Linked DNA regions of Xenopus tropicalis. The protein of the gene in region 1 purifies or fractionates together with the protein of each later gene. This does not show direct contact. Links are inferred from orthologs where the notes say so. Each region holds a gene or a part of one and is shown in the gene's direction. Other genes may lie near its edges. The genes, in order: slc9a3r2, plcb3, lpar2, kctd5 and prkd1.

Region 1 (4,142 bases):
AGGCGCTTTAGGCGACGCATGCCTATACTTCCTATTATGTGGGTGTATCTTAGCTTTCACTAATTCAATTAACTTGTGGTGCACAAAATGATGATTAAGTAGAGGCTGTTCATCCAGAACAGTGCTGTCCAACTTCTGTTGTACTGAGGGCCGGAATTTTTCCGACCTACGTGGTGGAGGGCCGATAATGGAAGCCAGTTTTGACCACTCCCCTTTTTGAAACCGCACCCACTTGAAACCACACCCATGTTATCACATGACCATACCCATATTAATGGTTGTAGTACAGCAAAAACCTGCCATACTCTGCCTGCCCTACCCTGCCTGTGTGTGCCATACTCTGCCTGCCCTACCCTGCCTTTGTGTGTGCCATACTCTGCCTTCCCTACCCTGCCTGCGTGTGCCATACTTTCACTGTGTGTGCCATTCTTGGCCTGTGTGTGCCATACTCTGCCTGCCCTACTCTGCCTGTGTGTGCCATACTCTGCCTTCCCTACCCTGCCTGTGTGTGCCATACTCTGCTTGCCCTACTCTGCCTGTGTGGGCCATACTCTGCCTGCCCTACTCTGCCTGTGTGTGCCATACTCTGCCTTCCCTACCCTGCCTGTGTGTGCCATACTCTGCTTGCCCTATGCTCACACACAGGCAGCCTACAGTGACACAATGCTGGCACTGCTCCTACAGTCTGCACAATAACTATATATTAAAAAACTTTTTAATTGCAGTACCACCTCAGTATATGTTCTTTTTGTAGTATGCAGGGATTATTTGTGGGTTTCTACTGCTCCTGAGGTGTGAAGAAGTGAACAATGGGAGTGATTACAGCCTGAGCCTGAGGTGTGAACACTGCAGGGGGTAGAACAATGCAGAGATTAAAAGGTGTGAACAACACAGGGGATTACATATTTAAACAATACAGCCTGATTACAGCCTGAATCTGAGGTGAGAACCATGCAGGGGGGGGGCAGTTAATCACAGTACTGATACCATTTAAAGCTTACACAAAGGTAAGCCATCAAAGCAGCCAGACAGGTGGGGGGCCACACAGAGGGGGGTCACGGGCCGCATGCGGCCCGCGGGCCGCCAGTTGGACAGCACTGATCCAGAAGGTTTGGGGCAGTTGAACATTCTAAATTACCTTGGGTTAAGGGAGTGCCATAAATAAACTTTAACTACCCAGAAGCTGTAAATGTATCCAGCACCCAGTTTGGTGCATATTTTGCATAGTGTCAGTTCCCCTTTAAGAGCTGCTCCGTGAGTATCTGACTTCTGCTTTCTCTCCCCGCGGCAGGTGGTTCAGCGCATTAAAGCAATAGAAAACGAAACGCGGTTGCTGGTGGTGGACAGAGAAACTGATGAGTACCTGAAAAAATCCCCACCCGGCTCACCTACTGAATCCCAACCCAACTCCAGCGCCCCCTCAACTCCGACTCCAGGGAGCAACAACAACGGCGAAGTATGGAAAACAAAGGAGGACACAAGCCATGAAGATCAGCTACACAATAACCACAGCACGGAGAACGGGAAACAGGTAGGTGAATTGTTATGGGGCACTGCCATTTTGGCTCTAAGCCATTGGTGGCATACAACTCCCAGCATTCTTATCAGGCCATGACGTTTAGGGCACACTAGAATTTGAATCAGTTGGCTATCCCAGGGACAATCATATTATATTAGGGGCCCTGTACAGACCCCACAGGAGACCTGGTGTGGTATTTCCTTGACTGAATTTTCAAACTTGCGGACTCCATCTTAAGTGGACAAACTAGCTGCTAATTTTAGCCAATGTAAGGCTACCTAAAATGCCGGCCACACAGAGAATGAGATGGTGTGACATTTTATAACCCATCAATGCTTTGTTTATGGATCTGACCACTGTTGAGTGACCACCATGCATTCTGATTGGATCAGAACAGGTTGCACCGTGCTGACACTGATGTCAGCTGATGCATTCGGAAGGCCATCAACAAATTGTAGTTGCCACCCACTTCCTGTGCTATCTTATTGGCTAATGAGCATAGCAGTACAGCAGTCCTATTCATTTTTGTGGTGACATTACACTCAAAATGAATGATTGACTCTGTAAAGGAACCAAATGATTGGATTGGGAGCTTCCAGCTTGTGACCAAGGCCTGAGGGGCCAAAGTGCGCCCCCATAGTACAGAGATCAAAACACACATATGGGGTCGCATATGCCAGATCAGTCGCAGTGCTGTATATTTTGGCAAGTCCTCATCATTTCAGTTGACTTTGTTTACTTTTCTCATTGTTCTGAAATCGTATAGTGGAACATCTGGCTAAAGGGGCCCCCTTTAACCCCTTCCTGGGAAGCAAATGTTTGTACCAATGGGGTAGCTGCAGCCGCTCTCTCTATCCCCGCTTTGGCATGTTGTTTGGAATATCCCAAGTGACCTGGAACATTTTATTTTGCTGGAGTCTGTTTCCTCTCACCAACCCCCCCAACCCTTCCCGCCGCCCCTTTTCCTGAATCACAGGACCACTCGGCCGGCTGCACTCATGTTGTTAAGGGTTGTCTGCGGAGCTCTTTATTAAATACTCTGCCTAGGGCTGTAAAATGTTACAGTGACAGAAAGCAGATCTGGGGAGGTGTGGGGGCAATGTAGGAGCATGTGACTCGGTCCCAGATGATGATTAAAAAAAAAAAGATCTTTAAAGTTTATTTTACTTGTTTTTTTTTCCTATATATCTTAGAAAGTGTATTTTTCCTTTTTGTAATTGGAGTCCTGGGGCAGGTTGGGTACCCAAGCATTACCTGCAAGAAAAGCAGGTACCCTGCGGGTTGCAGGTTGGATTCAGATGTGGATATAAATGGGGGTCGGATTTTGGATCTTATCCATATTTTTTGTCTGATATTATATTATTTATATTTTACCCCTTTTATATTGTGCAAAAACTGCAACTGTCTGCAGGGATGGACTATTGCATTGTGTGTAAACACATGGCAAGAAATGCCTGTCATGAAACCACACATGATACAGACGATAAAGGTGTTGCAAACTTTACAGCTTCTTGAGATTTCTGTAGCCGATAGCATCCCACCAACCACATGCTGCTCATAATCCGCTTTTTCCAATGCGGTTCCAAAATTTTGAAAACCTTCTAATCCTACACACGGATAAAAGCAGATAAGGCCGACCAGTTGGATCAGCCGGTGGGATGCAGTGTTTCTGTGTGTTTTCCCCTAATCCTCCCGCCTCCGTGGAGAACGGCATTACATCTGTTTGTGGCTATTGCTAAGCCGGCGTGTCTGAAGCAGTGATTATGTAGGCAAGGGGGGTTTAGAAGGTCCCAAAATTCCTTTACAGGCTTTTAAATTTTAATTTAGTGGAATTATTAATTCATTTACCAGTTTTGCAATCAGGCTGGTAGGTTTAAAGACTAAGGCTAATTTACTTAGGGGGGTTTGACCACCAGGGAATGGCTGTTTAAAATTCACCAACGTCAGTTTTTTCCATAAAGATATATGGGAAACACTGTTAAAGGTGAACTAAAAAATTGTACATGGCTAGAAATACTTTTATATACTGAACTTAATGTACCAGCCCAGAGGTTCAGCAGCCCTATAACAGTAATGATCAAAAGTTGTCCCCAGCAGCTCCCCATGTTCGATCTTGTTAGGCCATCTTTTAAATGTCAGTGGCACTGCACGTACTCAGTGTGCTCTGGACTGCTGTTGGGAAGCTCAGCTTAGGGGTCATGGGAAAGCACCAAAACATTAGCAGTGAGGTTACATCTGTCATGGAAGCTGATGCTACAGGGCTGATTATTAAATTCCACCTGAATTAATTACTAATTTGCCTTGTCTTGGGCTACTGTATGTGTGTGTGTATGTGTGTCACTTGAACTAAAGGTCCAGCATGCTTGATAAAGGGGTTGTTTTGCCTCGAAACGTTGCACTACCGCAATAAAGTTTGGAGTAAGGGCTTGTCCCGTTTGTAGCCTTGAGTGCCATTGCATTATTTGACAATTCTGGACTTTTGGAGGGTGCCGATCCCTTTGGCAGTGAGCACCGGGCGCTTAACTCATTCTGGACAGTTAAGGGCGTGCGATTAGCTGCCGAATCGATATCAGCAGCTACTATCGGCCCGTGTATGGGGACCTTTACAGAAATCCTGTGGGCC
Region 2 (4,577 bases), on another chromosome or scaffold:
CAATATAGGTTGGTAGGTACCATGAAGGGTGACAGAGGGGTACACATTACCTTGCATTGCCAATATAGGTTGGTAGGTACCATGCAGGGTGACAGAGGGGGTACACATTACATTGCCAATATAGGTTGGTAGGTACCATGCAGGGTGACAGAGGGGGTACACATTATATTGCCAATATAGGTTGGTAGGTACCATGCAGGGTGACAGAGGGGGTACACATTATATTGCCAATATAGGTTGGTAGGTACCATGCAGGGTGACAGAGGGGGTACACATTATATTGCCAATATAGGTTGGTAGGTACCATGCAGGGTGACAGAGGGGTACACATAACATTGCCAATATAGGTTGGTAGGTACCATGCAGGGTGACAGAGGGGTACACATTACATTGCCAATATAGGTTAGTAGGTACCATGCAGGGTGACAGAGGGGTACACATTATATTGCCAATATAGGTTGGTAGGTACCATGCAGGGTGACAGAGGGGTACACATTACCTTGCATTGCCAATATAGGTTGGTAGGTACCATGCAGGGTGACAGAGGGGTACACATTACCTTGCATTGCCAATATAGGTTGGTAGGTACCATGCAGGGTGACAGAGGGGTACACATTACATTGCCAATATAGGTTGGTAGGTACCATGCAGGGTGACAGAGGGGTACACATTATATTGCCAATATAGGTTGGTAGGTACCATGCAGGGTGACAGAGGGGTACACATTATATTGCCAATATAGGTTGATAGGTACCATGCAGGGTGACAGAGGGGTACACATTATATTGCCAATATAGGTTGGTAGGTACCATGCAGGGTGACAGAGGGGTACACATTATATTGCCAATATAGGTTGGTAGGTACCATGCAGGGTGACAGAGGGGGTACACATTATATTGCCAATATAGGTTGGTAGGTACCATGCAGGGTGACAGAGGGGGTACACATTATATTGCCAATATAGGTTGGTAGGTACCATGCAGGGTGACAGAGGGGGTACACATTACATTGCCAATATAGGTTGGTAGGTACCATGCAGGGTGACAGAGGGGTACACATTACATTGCCAATATAGGTTGGTAGGTACCATGCAGGGTGACAGAGGGGTACACATTACATTGCCAATATAGGTTGGTAGGCACCATGCAGGGTGACAGAGGGGTACACATTACATTGCCAATATAGGTTTGTAGGTACCATGCAGGGTGACAGAGGGGGGTACACATTACATTGCCAATATAGGTTGGTAGGTACCATGCAGGGTGACAGAGGGGGGTACACATTACATTGCCAATATAGGTTGGTAGGTACCATGCAGGGTGACAGAGGGGGGTACACATTACATTGCCAATATAGGTTGGTAGGTGTGGGGCTAGGGCGGGGGGCGTGTCCCGGGAGTGCGTAGGTAAGGAGATGGTATGTGAGGAATGTGACAGGGCTGGATGCCGCCCCAGTCACTAGGCTTTATACAGGTGCGATAAGGAGAGGTGACTCGGTAGAGAGGCGCAAAAACTCAGCGCCTAGGAGCTGTATGTAACGGGACTCGGTTAGGGGCTGACAAGTTCATTTCGGGAGGGGGTAGCTGGGCGTTTCTTCCTTACAGCCCTGGGCGCTCCTTACTCCGTTCTCCTCATCCCGCTTTACTATCCCTCCCTTCCCCTCATTTAGCCGCCCATTCAGTCTCTCCTCCCTCACTGCCCTCCCCTTCTCACTCTCCTAGTTTCTCTCCACCCCCTCAGTCAGTCCCTGCTTCTCTCTCGCTGCTGCCTCCTCCTCTTCCTCGTTATTTTGCCCCCCTAGTTGCCCCCTGCCCTGTTCCCCAAACATGGCGGGGGCACGGCCAGGGGTTCACTCTCTTCAGCTGGAACCAGTCAAAGTGCCGGAGACTCTTATAAAAGGGAGCAAGTTCATCAAGTGGGATGAGGTGAGACGAGGGGAAAAGTTCTAAACTGGAGAGGGGGCTACTTACTGTGTACTGGCGGCTGCTGGGGATACACGGCTCAGTGACTCCCACTGACAAGAGATGGGCGCCGGCATTCTAGATTTCTTAGAGCTCTGTGGGATTTTGTAAGAGAGTGCTTGCAGTGCCTGCTGGGTAAAACATGTCTAGAGACTGGGCAGAATTTGCCTAGAGGGTCTTGCTGATCGCGTAACTTAACCTAGGGGCTTCTGGGTATCTGCTGGCTGATACATGTTCAGAAGCTGCTGAATATGAAAATATTTATTGGGGTTCAGGGTATCTGCTGGGAAATTCTTTGGGTATCTGTTGGCAAATACAAGTCCAAAGGGTTGTGTTGGGCAGTGTTTGTACAAAGGCTGCTGAGTACAACTTGGTACCTGGTTACCTGCAAACAGTATAATTCACATGCTGTCAGGTATCTAGAGGATAGCACTGTTTCAGAGGGGTGTGGGTATCTGCCAGGCGAATCTTGTTCAATGGCTCCTGGGTATCAATGTAGTACTTGCTTAGAGGCTGCTGGGTATCAGGGCAGTACTGGGGTATTTCCTAGGTAATACTTGCTCAGAGGGGGTTGCAGTACTTGTACAGGGTGTTCTTGGGATCTACAAGGCAGTACTTGTCCAGAGTATTCTGGGTATCTACAGGGCAGTACTTGTCCAGAGTATTCTGGGTATCTACAGGGCAGTACTTGTCCAGAGTATTCTGGGTATCTACAGGGCAGTACTTGTCCAGGGTATTCTGGGTATCTACAGGGCAGTACTTGTCCGGAGTATTCTGGGTATCTACAGGGCAGTACTTGTCCGGAGTATTCTGGGTATCTACAAGGCAGTACTTGTCCGGAGTATTCTGGGTATCTACAGGGCAGTACTTGTCCGGAGTATTCTGGGTATCTACAGGGCAGTACTTGTCCGGAGTATTCTGGGTATCTACAAGGCAGTACTTGTCCAGAGTATTCTGGGTATCTACAGGGCATTACTTGTCCGGAGTGTTTTGGGTATCTACAAGGCAGTACTTGTCCAGAGTATTCTGGGTATCTACAGGGCAGTACTTGTCCGGAGTATTCTGGGTATCTACAAGGCAGTACTTGTCCAGAGTATTCTGGGTATCTACAGGGCAGTACTTGTCCGGAGTATTCTGGGTATCTACAAGGCAGTACTTGTCCAGAGTATTCTGGGTATCTACAGGGCAGTACTTGTCCGGAGTATTCTGGGTATCTACAAGGCAGTACTTGTCCAGAGTATTCTGGGTATCTACAGGGCATTACTTGTCCGGAGTGTTTTGGGTATCTACAGGCAGTACTTGACAAAGTGCTCTGGGTATCTACAAGACAGTACTTGTCCAGAGTTTTCGGTGGTATCTACAAGGCAGTACTTGTCCAGAGTGTTCTTTGTATCTACAGGGCAGTGCTTTTCCAGAGTGTTCTGGGTATCTACAGGCTGTATTTGGCCACAGGGGTCTGGGTATCTACAAGGTAGTGCTTGGCCACAGGGGCTGGGTATCTACAAGGTAGTGCTTGGCCACAGGGGGCTGGGTATCTACAAGGTAGTACTTGTCCAGAGGCAGTACTTCTGCAGAGGAGTCTGAGTATCTATAGGCTGCCTGGTATCTGGAGGGCACTTCTGTTTAAGAGGATTGTGTATATCTGTCAGGTAGAACTTTGTTTATAAGCTGCCGGGTATCAGTGCAGTAGTGGTTTAGAGACTGCTGTGTATCATATTGCTGGGTATCTCCAGGTCAGCACTTGATTATAGATGGGTATCAGTAGGGTAATACTAAGGGGGTTATTTATCAAACATCAAGTGGGCATTTTTTTTCTCAGTTCGAGAACAATCTTGATGCAAATATATAAATATAAAAATAAATATATATATAAATATAAAATTGGGTAAGTAAAAGCTGAGTTTCTATAGAAGTCACTAGGAATCATCTCTAACAACTAACAATTTGTCAGCTTTATTGAAAATTAATGAAACAATGTGATTCTCTTTTGTGTGCAAAGTCAAGAAAAAACATTTGTGCGCTTTTTTTATGCAATTGCTTTTTTTTTCTTCACCTCAAAGATTAGTAAATAGACCTCTAAATAGCTATACATTTTTAGGTGAAATAAATTGGTAACTTACTGCTGGATAGCTCCAAGACAATACTTGTTGAGATGCTAAGGGGCAATTCTCAGAAGTAGAGGGAACCTTTTTTTGGAGTTAAAGTGGTGGCTAAACTGGTGTGAAATACTTTTTCCATACTCACAAACAGAAATCCACCTCAATTGCGACTCAATGGCCACTTTTCAGTCTTTGCTCTAAAGAAGGTACAGACAATCAAAGGAGTACTAGAAGAAAAATAAATTCCCCAGTACAAAGAGTGACTGTCGTTTTACAGAACATTTTTCCTCACACCTCACTACATTACAAACTGTACTGCTATACACCGTTTTACAAATATCCTTCAGGCATAAGTAAATACATTTTATTCTGTTGAAACAACAGTTTTTTCAAGTAGCCCATGTAGGTTCTTGTATAGTATAACCTAATTCCTAGCTAGCGATGGCTTTCAGACTTTTCAGGGTTTTTTGTTTTTTTTTAAAATTGGTTCAAACCCAGTTTGAGGCAAGATTTTGGTC
Region 3 (4,652 bases), on another chromosome or scaffold:
GTACATAGTGGGCCCCGGTGGCCAGACCTGACGCTTGCAGGCGCTCCCCCTGCCCGACCATTCCTCCCTTGGCGAGTTAAACTTACGCGCGCTCAGGGGGGACCCTGCGGGGGGTTAGGGGGTACCTTAGGCAGGAGAGGTTAGGGGCCGAGGCCAATGGGGGGGGCACCTGCACCCCCCCGTCTGACCCGTCACCCCCCCGTCCGACCCTGCCTGTGGGCAGAAAATGTTTATTGAAGTCGGACTGGGCCACCAGGATACCAGGAAAATGCCCCGTGGGCGCAGGTGTAAGTGGGCCCTCCTGCTCCTGACCATTTGGCCTGTTTCATGCTCAGGGTCGGACTGGGGGGTGCAGGGCCCACCGGGGCTCCCGCCCCAGGGGCCCTGCAGGTGCCCCAGCCGCGTCCCCTAACCCCCCCAAGGTCCCCCCTAACCCCCCCGAAGGGCCCCCGCCTGACGTCCTCCCCGAGCGCGTATAAATTGAACGCGTCGGGGAGGAACAGTCAGTAGCGGGGAGCGCCGGCAAAGGTCGGACTGGGCCGCTGGGGCCCACTAGGGCCGGGGCCCACCGGGATTTTTCCCGGTGTCCCGGCGGCCCAGTCCGACCCTGTTCATGCTCATTCCCTATTTCTGAATGGGAAGGAAGAGGAGAAATAGATGGAAGAATAGCTAGTATGTATGTATGTATATCTTTATTTATAAACCGCTACTTATGTACGCAGCGCTGTACAGTAGAATACATTAATACAAACAGGGGGTTATTAAGATAATAATAGATAAATACAAAGTATAACAATAAATACAGATAAATACAAGATACAGTTGCAATAAGTTAAAAGAGTCAAAGACACAAGAGGAAGGAGGTCCCCGCCCCGTAGAGCTTACAATCTATATGGGAGGGTAACTAACAGACACAAATAGGCAAATGTAAGTGCTGTAGGTCACAGTGGGTGACACTACAGTATAAGCGTAAGTAAGAAACTAGGAGAATAAAGAAGTTAGAAAGCAGAAAAGATAGTTTAAAAAGTTGGCCTATTGCCTAAGGTTTTTTGGTGGGCTCCTGGGGTCCCAGTCCGACACTGTTGAAGGGAATGAATAACTTGGCTCCTCTCTACTGCGTCCTGAGGAAAAAGGAGTTAACGCTAAGCCGTTTGAGAGCCAGTCGTGCAGCAAGGCCACGCCCCCTGGTGACACACCTTACCGAGGCCCCTCCCCACTGTTACACCTTGCGCAGAGGTGTTTGGCTGTGGCAGCTTTGCTCCGCCCCCCGCCCCCAAACCCTCTCTCACTGTGCCTGGTATTTGGCTGCCGGAGCGGGTTAGGCGGGCTGGGACTTGTCTCAGGGGAAAGGCTGTGTCTCTCCCAAGGGGCCCATGTTGCGCTCTCTGATGGAGGGAGAGAGGGGACAGGAGGCTGCGCTGTAACATTGGAGGTAAGGAGCCATTGGGAGCCCTGGGACAGGGGTGCGGGACTTACTGAACAGAAACTGCGGAGAGTTTCGCCCGGGATCCCGGAATGTAAATGCGGAGGGGCACTGTGCATTCCTAGCGACAGAGGGGGGCAGTATAATATATAGGGATGAATTGAGTTGGGGCAGAATCATATAAGGGGGGCAGTATATATATATATATATATATATATATATAGGGATGAATTGAGTGGGGGCAGAATCATATAAGGGGGGCAGTATATATATATATATATATATATAGGGATGAATTGAGTGGGGGCAGAATCATATAAGGGGGGCAGTATATATATATATATATATATATATATATATAGGGATGAATTGAGTGGGGGCAGAATCATATAAGGGGGGCAGTATCCTGAGTGTCCCTCTGAGGTGGTGGGGGGGGAGGCTGAGAAGAATCAGTATGGCAGGGCTTGTTGAAGGGAAATCGCAAGGCGCAGCAGAACGGAAACAAAAGAGAAAACAAGTAGTATCAATGCTGCTGGCCATACTGTAACCAGGGTGAGCCAGACCTGACCAGCTCCATCTACATAGGTAAGTGCCTGGGGCTCTGTATGAATATTCCATGTGCAGAGTGTAGTTCAGCAATGTACAACCCTAATGGCAATAGAATAGCTTTACACAAACCTTTTATATCTAGATATTGATTTTTTGTTTGTCTCCTTGTCTGTTTTTTATCATTGGCACAGCAATAGCTAACATATCCTTTTAAATGGTACTTAGTGAGGTCATCAGTTGTCAGTGCTATATCAGTGATGTCACATGCCTCATCATTGAAAATGGTATATTATAAAAGTGCACCTTCTATTGTAAAATATGAGCATGTTAGGAGTCACCTTGGGGGTCACGTCTTGTGATGGGATTCCTTAGTGACTTCTAGTATCCTTATATTTTACAGCAGGGGGTACATCATTCCCTGTACAGTGCACTTTTGGTTACAAGTATTATATATATAGTGAATCTGTTGCACAGCCAGCATTGGAAGGGGCTTTGAGTTTTAGTGAAAGTGCAGAGCTGTGCGGCAGCACGCAATGAGATATACAGTTCGAGACTAGGCTTAGAAATGTGCACAGCAGGCAGAAACAAACCTATAGCCCTATAAATACAGTTTCTTTACCACTTCCTCAGTTTCATGTGCCAAAACCTACAGACAAACGTCTATACACAACATTTGTCTTTGTTAGATATGCAGGGTGTATACAACTAATATAAACTGGCTAATCAACATGGACTGATCATGTCCAGCCAGGGTAGATGGGATTACTGCCCGCATCCTGGGGCATTCTGAGCAGATCTGTGTTGTGGGGGGGGGGAATACTCTGTGAATTTTAGGGTTTTCTGAATCTTATGGACTATGGCACGTGTAATGTTTCCCTGCCAGTCTGTTTCAGTTGTGGAGAAACATCTGCTACCTCTGTGCCTCCTGTCATTGAGAAGAGAGGAATGTGTGGTTTCCATTCATATTAATGATAGACGGCTCAGCTAGGTATCAGGTGTTCGCAAGCTGCAATACATTCATGTGCTTTAAAGGACAAGTTATATTTATATATAATATAAATCTAAACCACACCACCCATACTGACCAGTACAGCCTGCTTCCCTGTGCCAGACTATACTAGGCAGCAGGGGCGGGCCAAGCCGACCGGGCGCCCTAGGCAACCCGGTCGGCCAACTCCGGCGGTTAGATCGGTCATTGCCTCCGCCGCTAATGACAAATTAGCACTAGGGGTAGGCAGGAGAGGCTCCTGCCTGGCGCCCCTAAATCTTCTGCCTACCCCTAGTTCCGGCCCTGCTAGGCAGCACAGCAGGGTTGGTAATGACTGACCATTTAAATGTAAGTAGTAACGTTCAGAAGAATGGTGCCTGCAGGGCTCCTGTACACCTAATTTAAACTATTGCAGGATCTGCAGCAGTTGCTAAAACTCCCAGGCAGTGGTTTCAAGGGGGTTCTGGGAGTTGTAGTCCAGCTGTAAATGAAAAGCTATTGTTTGGAGTGGCCCTGATTTGGATGTTGGATTTTTCTATTTGCTAAAACCCAGTGTTGGTCCTGTATTTGGGTAATAGTTGGAAAAGTTGGAAATCAGTCAAGTCAGTGTGGCTGTTAAGTGCATTGGCATTAGAAGGTGCAACAGGTAACTTCAGCCAGATCTGGCTAATGTGGTTGGTCACATACAAGTAGGGTTGAGCCCAGGATCCCATGTGGCCACCCAGTTCCCACATCAGTCATTCATAAAGAAATAATATAAAATGTGTGACGCTGCTCACATCAAACCAGGGTGCAGCTTGTATGTGAATAGACACATCATGGGGCCAAATATAGCTGTGCCGGGGGCCTAAGGCCGAACAAGTCCTGACATTCTCTGGTTCTAATGTGAAACTTTACGGAACGTGAGAAAAATGATTAAAATTTGACTTTTGTTTCTGTTTTACACTGTATCACCAGGCAGAATTTTATAGGTTCTGCTGTGTTTGTGTGGGCAGGGGGCTGAATTGCGCCACAGTGCCTGTGTGAGAATGTCTGTTAATATGCATTTTCTTTTTGTTCATGTTCAAAAAATTCTAATCTTTATCTATTGCATATAAATGTTCTTTCTTCCTGTTAAACAAAAAAAGTGTAATCAGATTTTATGTCTTGGTTTCCAGACGTATTTTTTTTTTCTTCTTTATCTGAGGCTGCTCAGATTAGGGCAATCTGCAAGAAACTGGTATTCTATTGTAAAGGGCACAGGGCCCTTAATAGAGTTAATTAGAAGAATGAATGAGTTAAGGAAGCAAACAAGTGGACATTATCTTGAAAAAACAGAATTTAATGCAAAATGACAGAGGGAAAGTACACACAGGAATCCGTGTGTTGCTTTTGTGTATTGAGAATGCTTTTACGTCTGTGTGTTTTGCATTGGTAGGGGCCAGGTCTTTTGAGTCACTTAACACAATTTGCTGGACAAAAGCCCTTGTCACTAAGGGCAAGAATACATGGGACGTTTTGTCGCCCAACAGGTTATTGTTATCCCAAGTGTTCTTACCCTTAGGGTGAAGACACACAGTGCTACTAGTAGCAGCTACTTGTCGTGGCTACTAAAATAGACAATGCTAATTATTTACTGATAATGGTCTCTACGTGTGTTTTAGCAGAGGCGATTCTCAGTATTGTCTATGGCAGAGTATTTTCTGGTGTCTA
Region 4 (4,142 bases), about 10 Mb from region 1:
ACATTGCTCAGCCTATGATTTGTTTTACTTTCATTTTAGTGCTGAGGCGCAGGCATTAAATTTCAACAAGAACAAGCACTTGTCTCTGAGGCATTTATGTATTGATTGGTGCTGCAGAGCCTTCATTACAGTTCCATTTGAGTACTGTACCACTGCTAGCCTAATTAGCACATTGAGGTGATGCCTCTAAATGGACCTGCTATTCTCGCCCAAAGTGCAGTTGTTTAAAAGGCTAAAGATTCTTTTGTGACCATTAACTGCACAGAAATGTATTGCAACCATGTAAACACCTCTCTCAGGCATTGTAGGTTGTTTGAATATGTTGGGTTCCACAGGTGGGATCATCCGTAAGATTTTATGGTCATTTCAAAAAGGGGGTTAGAGGAGTGTCCAACAATACATAATTGTGTCCTGCACAAACTACACATTGAGGCTTATTTGCTAGCACTGGGCAGTAACCCATACATACCAACTCGGGTAGGGGAATGGAAGCAAAAATAATTGGTTAGTATGGGTTGCTACCCAGTGTTGATAAGCAAGCCCCACAGTTTATATTCTTTATAAGGTCCATTGACTTCAATGTGTTTTGCAAACCTTTGCAGTTGAGAATTTTTCAGCAAAACAACATGGTGGTGGTTGTCAACCAACCAATTCTAGTGGTGCTGAGGCTGACAGGGTTTTGAAGGAAAGAGTTATGCTGTTGTGCAGAAAGGAGATGCTGAGAGGACAAGGATGCTGTTTGTTTATAGCAGAAGTTAATGGAGCAATCTGCCAAAGTTGCTTTCAGAGCGCATTGCTGGCCGGACAATGCTTAGTGCTGTATTGTGTGTGCTGTCCAGCCGGCAAGTCTCATTGAAACCTACATTGGCAGCATATTTCATTAAGTTCTGCTATAAACACAGCAGCTCTGTCTTCTCCGCATCTCTCTATAAAGGAGGAGTATTGTTATATGCAAGAGGGCAAGTTAACCCTTTTTCAAAAGCTTTACGTTCAGCAGTGCTTTAATATTACACTGCAGTCAGAACGTTGGTGTCCTGTCTTGATATAGCACCTTCAGCCATGGATGCTCAAAGTACTTAGAAATGAAACTGATGTGGTGGCATTACAATGTTGAGAACATTTTGTAAAAAAATCTCATACAATGAATATGGAGCTGTTCGATCAGAAGCTACATTGAGCACACATGTTCTACCAGTGTGTGCTTACAGTTCCATAAGGTCACAATTCTTTATATGGCTTTTTTTATTTACTTAAGTACAACAATGTCTTTCCTTGCAGTGAAGTTAAATTTATAATGTAGTGTGTAGTTTAGTGACCTTGATGCAATAACTGCACTACAAGTAGACCCCACATTGGTAGTCTGGCCTCACACAGTTACTAGAATTACTGATGGTTTGGCAAGTCATTCTGCTGACAGCTATAGCGCATATCTTTGTCCTGCAGACGTGCACAGAGTCATTTTTCTTCCGGGTGTTGGCATGTACTGGCCTGCACACACACAACCACTGTAAAGTCTCTAAGTATATGTCATAAATTGCCATTATTATAAGCCACTTTCACATAAAATGAAAGCTATTTGGTTCGGTGGATTTCTGTCTAGTTTTCAGAATGTTGAAAAGCAAGCAGAAGGATTTAAATTTAAGTTTTTGTAAACTGGGCACTAAGTTTGCCCAGGAGCAGTAACCCATAGCAACCAATAAGATGTTTGCTTTTCAACAGGTGACCAGTTAATGCTGCCTGCTGATTGGTTGCTAGGGGTTATTGCTCCTGGGTAAACTTAGGGGCATATTTATTATTCGCCACACATCACCGTGTAAAATCGGCGTAATTGTTTTATGCGTTTTTTTCTTCCACCGAAACTTATGGAAAATAACTGCTTAATATCCGGCGTTCAGATGGCGATCTTTTCCATTTATTTTACACAGCTTTTTACTCCGTTTTTTTCGGTGAATTAGTTTTACACAGCATAATAAATACGCCCCTTAGTGTCTTTTTATTACATAATACATATTACATAAGGGCATGAATACATGCTAGGTTACATTTTTTCCTGTCAAGTGATTAGTCAGGGAACACGTGTCACAAAATGGTTGCTCTGGTTTAAAAGTATAAGGGAGCTGTGTTTACTGATGTATGCCAGTTTGCCAAGATTCTTTTAATATGTCCCTTCTGATACAGTATATAATCTGTTGGGGTACATCCTCCTGTCCATTATCCTAATATTTTCTCCCTCCTTTTTAAGTTGGTCAGTATTGGCTCCTCCTACAACTATGGAAACGAAGATCAGGCAGAGTTTTTGTGTGTTGTGTCGAAAGAGTTACAAAACACCCAATATGGCACAACTAGCGAGCCAAGCGAAAAAGCAAAGGTATGTTTTCTGACATGTGGATATTTTTTTTTTTTTTTTTAAATGATTTTTAGAATATGTAAATACTGTCCTGCACACAGGAAATCTGAAACATGCCCCTTCCTTTTGCCTTGTTACATTTTTGCTTTGCAGATGTGCTCCATTCAAGTGTTAATTGTTACAGCAAGGTCTGAGAAAAGCAGATCTATGCTACGTGTGACTTTGCCTTTTAGTTTCCCTATTACCGATTGTTACTAGTTGTTGCAAATGCAGATACTAGTTTTAATGTTTTTTTTAAAAAAAAGTAAGTTATGGATATAAATAATTTTAATAAGAATAATACCAGAACCAGAAAAATATTTTGAAACTCACTGGTATTTACACTATTTTAAGTGGATTGTTAACCTCCAGTGTAGGCACGCACTTATATTTCCTGGAATGAATACAGTGTGAAGGGTTTAGTAGCCTTTGCTTGTACAGCATTAAAATATGCTTTACTAACAGATAAGTCCTAGCCCAGAAAGAATGAACATTAAGGTTTTAAGCTTTGGAGTGGAAGTCTCCAGATAATTTGTTTGTACAGGCCTCCCTGTCTGACCTGTACATTCTTCAGGATTGTAAGGAGCCTCCACACCCAACAAAAATCCACTTAACTCTGGGAGTGTTTAATAAGTGTACCTGCTGCCCTGATGCCTGAAGTTGCATGGATAATTATTTGGCATGTGTCCTTCAAGTTGTGCCTGAACCCCAGAAGCATTGAATCTGCCCAGGTGCAGGCACATGCAGCTGATATTCACAAACGCTTGTATTTGTTGGTGGATATCTGATTAAATGCTTCAGAGTGCAGGCACAACAATGATTTTTTGGGGAAGTGTAGGGTGTATTGTTGGCCTGCATTTATCTGCAGGCTGACAATAAGCCCTGTGTGCACTTGTCCTTAGGTTAATGCCACACGTGGCAGATTCTCGGCCTGGATTTTGACTCTGAAATGCATTAGTATGCATTTCACAGTGAAATTGATTCTGTATGCATGCATGCACCTAGGCCAACACAGTGGCTCTGGGTGCAGACACAGAAAAGCGCTGATTCAAGCGTAAGGGTGTATTCTCAACCTGTGTTTATCTGTAAGTCGAGAATCTGCCATGTGTTACATTAACCAGCGTACAACTGCACAATTCCTTCACAATTTTTAGCTATACAGGTGAGGTTCAGGCAATAATTGAGCTTTCAGAGATAGTCACCAGTGCATTCACAGCTCAGAGATTATCATTAAAGTGTATGGTGGGGCATGTGTCAGTATTTTGTTCCTAAATCAGTTTTCCTTAACTGATCACCCTTATTCTGAAATGCAAAATACGGTTTAGCTGCTAAAGATCCTGTCTGTCTAATCTGTTTGGGCAACAGCCAGTTTATAGGATTATGGCCTGTAATGTACATGTGACTCTGTGTATAGCCAGCTTATCAAAGGCCCTGCCAGTGGCACTAATCTTTAGTATTACAGGTATGGGACCTGTTATCCAGGTATGGGACAGTTTTTTGGATAAGGGATCATTTCATAATTTGGATCTCCATAAATCTAATTACAAAAAATCACTTACACATTAAATAAACCCAATAGGATTGTTTTGCCACCAATAAGGATAAACTATCATTAAGTACAAGGTACCACTCATCACAGAGAAAAAGGAAATTATTTTTAGAAACATGAATTCAACTTTCAGGTTAAACCTGTATTCTCCTAAAACAGGGTATCTACACCACCTTAATGTCTGCCAGTAATCAGTCATGTTTATTT
Region 5 (4,142 bases), on another chromosome or scaffold:
CATAATAATCATTTAAAACATATCTGGCGTGTAAGGCTTAATTAATCAAATAAACCCCTTACTTTAATTTTGATAGTATTATAGTTTATTCACTCAAATCGTGCTTCACTGCTTGTGGCCAATCAGTAGATTCGTTCCGCACTTTCTCAGCACTGAATGGGTTATGGCACCTTTGCACTGAGCTTCCCATCAGCTGCAGTTTCCATCATGTAATCTGGTTTTAGCAATCATTTCCTGGAGCCATTCCAGCTAGAGCTCAGCTTGGAACAGAAATCCCTTGGAAATGGCCCACAGCTCAGACTTAGTATCAAGTTTTAAGGCTCCAGGGTCCTCTATTCCAACCCAGCAGAGCCACCGTGTGAGGGACTGTGGGGAAGTGCAGTGTTTTTATTAGGGTTAGCACTCCGGGGTGCCTAGGGCAGTGTTATACCAGCAACTACATGGGAAATTCTGCCACCATGAGGCAGCTTTTTATGCACACGTGGTCTTAAACATGAATCATCAAAGCATTTATTACTCGACTGCCACAGGAAAAAAAATACCCAGCAATCTTACTGCCTGTTTTGTCCTTCACGTTAGCTACGGTTCCTATTTCACTTTGTGGGGAAAATGTAAGGGTAAAACCAATAATAGTAACAGCAGAAACAATGATGTGGCCTCCAGTATATATCATCTGTCTGTTTACTCTGGGAATTATCTTTTGTCTCATTGCCACAAGTATTCCAACTGCAGCTCCATGTCCCAGCAGATAGGTTTCGGCTTATTTGGCAAAGGCATGACCCATGGATATCAGTATAAACTGATTTATAATATGTGCCTGCTAGCGAGTGCTTAGAATGTGAGTTGGTCTACATGAGCAAGTTTGATTTTTATGATTAGCTTCTTTTATTTATATAGTGCTGATGCATTCTGGAGCTTTAGAGAGATTACACATCATTTACTTCGGTCCCCCTGCCCCACTGGAGCTTACAGTCTAAGGGTTCTCTTACATTCATTCACACACTATGTTCAGTTTTAACAGGATCCAGTTAACCTCCCTGTATATTTTTGGAGGTCCTGGTTGTTTAATTTCTTCATAAACCACATGAGGTTGATGGCTTATAGGGTTTCTCTTTACAAAATCACCCCTGTTGCCCCCTATTCCATTTGAATGGAAAACACCTGACTGCACAAGGAGAAAGATGCTCTAGGGCAGTGATTCCCAACCAGTGGCTTGTGAGTAACATGTTGCTCACCTCTCACTTTGATGTTGCGCCCAGTGGCCACAAAGTAGGTGCCCATAATTTAGTTTTTGGCTTGGAGACAAGTTTTGGAAGCTCAGACAAGCCATTTTACCCTAAGCAGAGTCTCCTGCAGATCAGCAGCCCATACAGGGCTACCAAATAGCCAATAGCCCTTATTTGGTATCCCCAAAAGAATATTTTTTATTTTTGTGTGGTTCACCAATATTTTTTACATCTGAGTGTAGCTCACAAGTAAAAATAACATTGGGGATCCCTGTTAGGCAATTACTATTAAAGCAAATGGGAATTGTCAGGGGTGGTTTATTGTTCGCTTCTGTGCTGGCTCAATTACACCAGTGATGAAATTACCCCATGTACCGTTTTTACATGTGAAGACCGTTTTGATTTGCTTAGTTTGAGGGTAAAGCACTTGTGCTAAATTCTTTTACTTGTGTCATTCTTGTCACCTTCAAGAAAACCTGTTGGTATTCCTATTCGCATCTTTGAGGAAAGCATTAAATTTCCGAATACTTTATTTCAGAATTAAACCTTTATGGAGTAAAATAAACCTTAATTATAAACTGTATTATGTAACTATATTGATAAACAAGGTATATTGTCAGTATAGTTAGGACGGAATGAATTGTACTACCACTTTTCTGACCTTTCTGTGTTAAATCCACAGCAAAAATCTCCATCAGAATCCTTTTTGGGTCGACATAGTAGATCCGGCTCACAGTTACATATTGGCCGCCCGATTAAACTGGATAAGTTCTTCCTGACAAAGGTGAAAGTGCCTCACACATTTGTTATCCACTCGTACACCCGGCCGACTGTTTGCCAGCACTGCAAGAAACTGCTAAAGGGCCTCTTTCGGCAGGGATTGCAGTGCAAGGACTGCAAGTTCAATTGTCACAAGCGCTGCGCGTCAAGAGTGCCTCACAACTGCCTGGGGGAGGACGCAATTAATGGAGGTAAATTGGGCGTGCTATTTTTTCCCTTTACTTTGTTCTCTGTGAATGTGTTGTTTCATGCATATTGTGCTGAGGTGATTGTACTTAATATTTCATGTCTGCCTTAATTTTGTTTTTAAGACCTATCTGATGTAATGATGGAGGAGGGGAGCGATGATAATGAAAGTAGACCTGAGGACATGGATGAATCCCCCACAACAGACTCAGAGGGTTCCATATCAGGCTGCCGTAGTGAAAATGGAGAAATGCAGGAACCAGACCAGGATCAAGATGCATCGGACCGGACAATCAGGTAACTTTAAGGCAGCAAGTACGTTCATCAAGATACGTGAAGATATCACCAGGAAAGGGTTTTACAGTACTGTAAAACTGAAAGCCCAGCTTGAAGGTCAATTGTGTAACAATCTAAAGGGCTGATTCCCCAATGGCTTATAATATCTGTAACCTTTTGGTGAAAGAAAGGGAGCCCTCACCAGAGGTTTGACCTCCAAGGAGAGCTTGACAGTCTAGCATAAAAAAGTAAAGTTAGTGGAGTCAGTCCTGAAATCATTTGAGGCGTTTGAAGATTACAAATTAGGAAAACATAAGCTTTGTAGTATGCACATGTATAGCCAAAACAGTACTGGTCATAGTAAGTCCTTTGACCAGAACATTTACTTATGGACACATTGACTAAAGATTATTGGAGAATAATGATTCAGGAGATCAGCTAGCAGTAGGAATATTTGAGAAGCCTTCTCTAATTAAGAAGCACTCTATCAAAGAGAAATTCATTGACGGATGAAGATTTTAAGCAAAATATTTACACTAATGGCATTTGTAAAGACTAATGTTAGCAATGCATGCTTAGCTTTATGTCTTATTTTACAGTTTATCTATTTTCTTTCAGCCCTTCAGCCAGTAACAACATTCCATTGATGAGAGTAGTCCAGTCGGTCAAACACACAAAGAGGAAAAGCAGCAGTGTTATGAAAGAAGGCTGGATGGTACATTACACCAGCAAAGATCCCATGGTAAAAAAAGAGAGAGGGTGCCATTTTCTCTGTACTCGTTCCATTCTGCACAGGAGGACTGAGGGTTACATGTTGTGGCCAGTGGAGCAAAATTAAATGAGAGTCCTCCTCTTGTCTTCTTATATGGCCAGGCACTGCCTTGGCACCAGCCACTGCATGGGTGGTTTACCCTTTTTCTAATTGCTTTAATATACAGATCTTTTATGCCTTTATGTCTCTGGTTACATTCACACAATATATGTTCACTAAAAATGTTGGGATGGGATAGTCTGCCCATTATCATTTTTACATGCATATGTTTGTTTATTTATATGTACAAAACCTGCTATGCTGCAAAATTCTCCATGAACGCTGTAGAGATAGTGGCCTCTTGTGACCAATGTGTCACAAGGCAAAACATTATTATGAGTCTTAATTGATCGGTATTACTGCCTTTCACATACTTGATGCATTGTGTTCATTATGCTAAAGATTAAAGGTGAACTATCCCTTTGATGCTGTCAAAGCATCGCCAACGAGTTGCAAAAATGTAAAAAAAAAAATCCTTTCTGGTGAGGGCCACATCGGCACACTGATGTTATCTATCACTGTATCTACCCAAGCCCCTATTATAATTCTGATTTGATTTGCTGCATTGTTGGGCAAATCTGGTGATAATCTGACAGTGAATGATCAGGTTTACTTGTCATTTTCATTCTGTCTTTAGATTTACAGGAGTCTTAAAAGATAAAAGGAGTCATGATTGTTTATTTTTTTTTACTTTAAATATGCTGGAGCAAAATAACCAAGTCATCCAATCTTGCATGCATACCACAGATTGCATAGGTCCTGCTTTGGCCAGGATTGTTTTATTTAGTCTGACCTTGTGTAACTGCTGATTGACACATCTTGCTTTCTTACAATGACAGAGAAAACGGCATTACTGGAGATTA

The links.
Region 2: the proteins of slc9a3r2 (region 1) and plcb3 purify together in Homo sapiens (co-immunoprecipitation; 3 studies listed by BioGRID and IntAct, with this or other methods). This does not show direct contact. The link is inferred for Xenopus tropicalis from reciprocal best matches to the Homo sapiens genes NHERF2 and PLCB3.
Region 3: the proteins of slc9a3r2 (region 1) and lpar2 purify together in Homo sapiens (affinity purification with western blotting; 3 studies listed by BioGRID and IntAct, with this or other methods). This does not show direct contact. The link is inferred for Xenopus tropicalis from reciprocal best matches to the Homo sapiens genes NHERF2 and LPAR2.
Region 4: the proteins of slc9a3r2 (region 1) and kctd5 purify together in Homo sapiens (affinity purification with mass spectrometry; 3 studies listed by BioGRID and IntAct, with this or other methods). This does not show direct contact. The link is inferred for Xenopus tropicalis from reciprocal best matches to the Homo sapiens genes NHERF2 and KCTD5.
Region 5: the proteins of slc9a3r2 (region 1) and prkd1 purify together in Homo sapiens (affinity purification with mass spectrometry; 3 studies listed by BioGRID and IntAct, with this or other methods). This does not show direct contact. The link is inferred for Xenopus tropicalis from reciprocal best matches to the Homo sapiens genes NHERF2 and PRKD1.

The regions. Positions count from the first base shown.
Region 1 is NC_030685.2:18,846,108-18,850,249, forward strand, and holds part of slc9a3r2 (Na(+)/H(+) exchange regulatory cofactor NHE-RF2), read left to right. Parts: intron 1-1,291; coding exon 1,292-1,531; intron 1,532-4,142.
Region 2 is NC_030680.2:35,416,522-35,421,098, reverse strand, and holds the start of plcb3 (1-phosphatidylinositol 4,5-bisphosphate phosphodiesterase beta-3), read left to right. Parts: upstream 1-1,507; 5' UTR 1,508-1,825; coding exon 1,826-1,924; intron 1,925-4,577. UniProt on the Homo sapiens protein: Catalyzes the production of the second messenger molecules diacylglycerol (DAG) and inositol 1,4,5-trisphosphate (IP3).
Region 3 is NC_030679.2:135,175,909-135,180,560, forward strand, and holds the start of lpar2 (lysophosphatidic acid receptor 2), read left to right. Parts: upstream 1-1,308; 5' UTR 1,309-1,432; intron 1,433-1,881; exon of another isoform or gene 1,882-2,008; intron 2,009-4,652. UniProt on the Homo sapiens protein: Receptor for lysophosphatidic acid (LPA), a mediator of diverse cellular activities. Seems to be coupled to the G(i)/G(o), G(12)/G(13), and G(q) families of heteromeric G proteins. Plays a key role in phospholipase C-beta (PLC-beta) signaling pathway.
Region 4 is NC_030685.2:28,815,880-28,820,021, reverse strand, and holds part of kctd5 (BTB/POZ domain-containing protein KCTD5), read left to right. Parts: intron 1-2,242; coding exon 2,243-2,368; intron 2,369-4,142. UniProt on the Homo sapiens protein: Its interaction with CUL3 suggests that it may act as a substrate adapter in some E3 ligase complex. Does not affect the function of Kv channel Kv2.1/KCNB1, Kv1.2/KCNA2, Kv4.2/KCND2 and Kv3.4/KCNC4.
Region 5 is NC_030684.2:112,884,528-112,888,669, reverse strand, and holds part of prkd1 (serine/threonine-protein kinase D1), read left to right. Parts: intron 1-1,908; coding exon 1,909-2,197; intron 2,198-2,317; coding exon 2,318-2,489; intron 2,490-3,086; coding exon 3,087-3,210; intron 3,211-4,118; coding exon 4,119-4,142.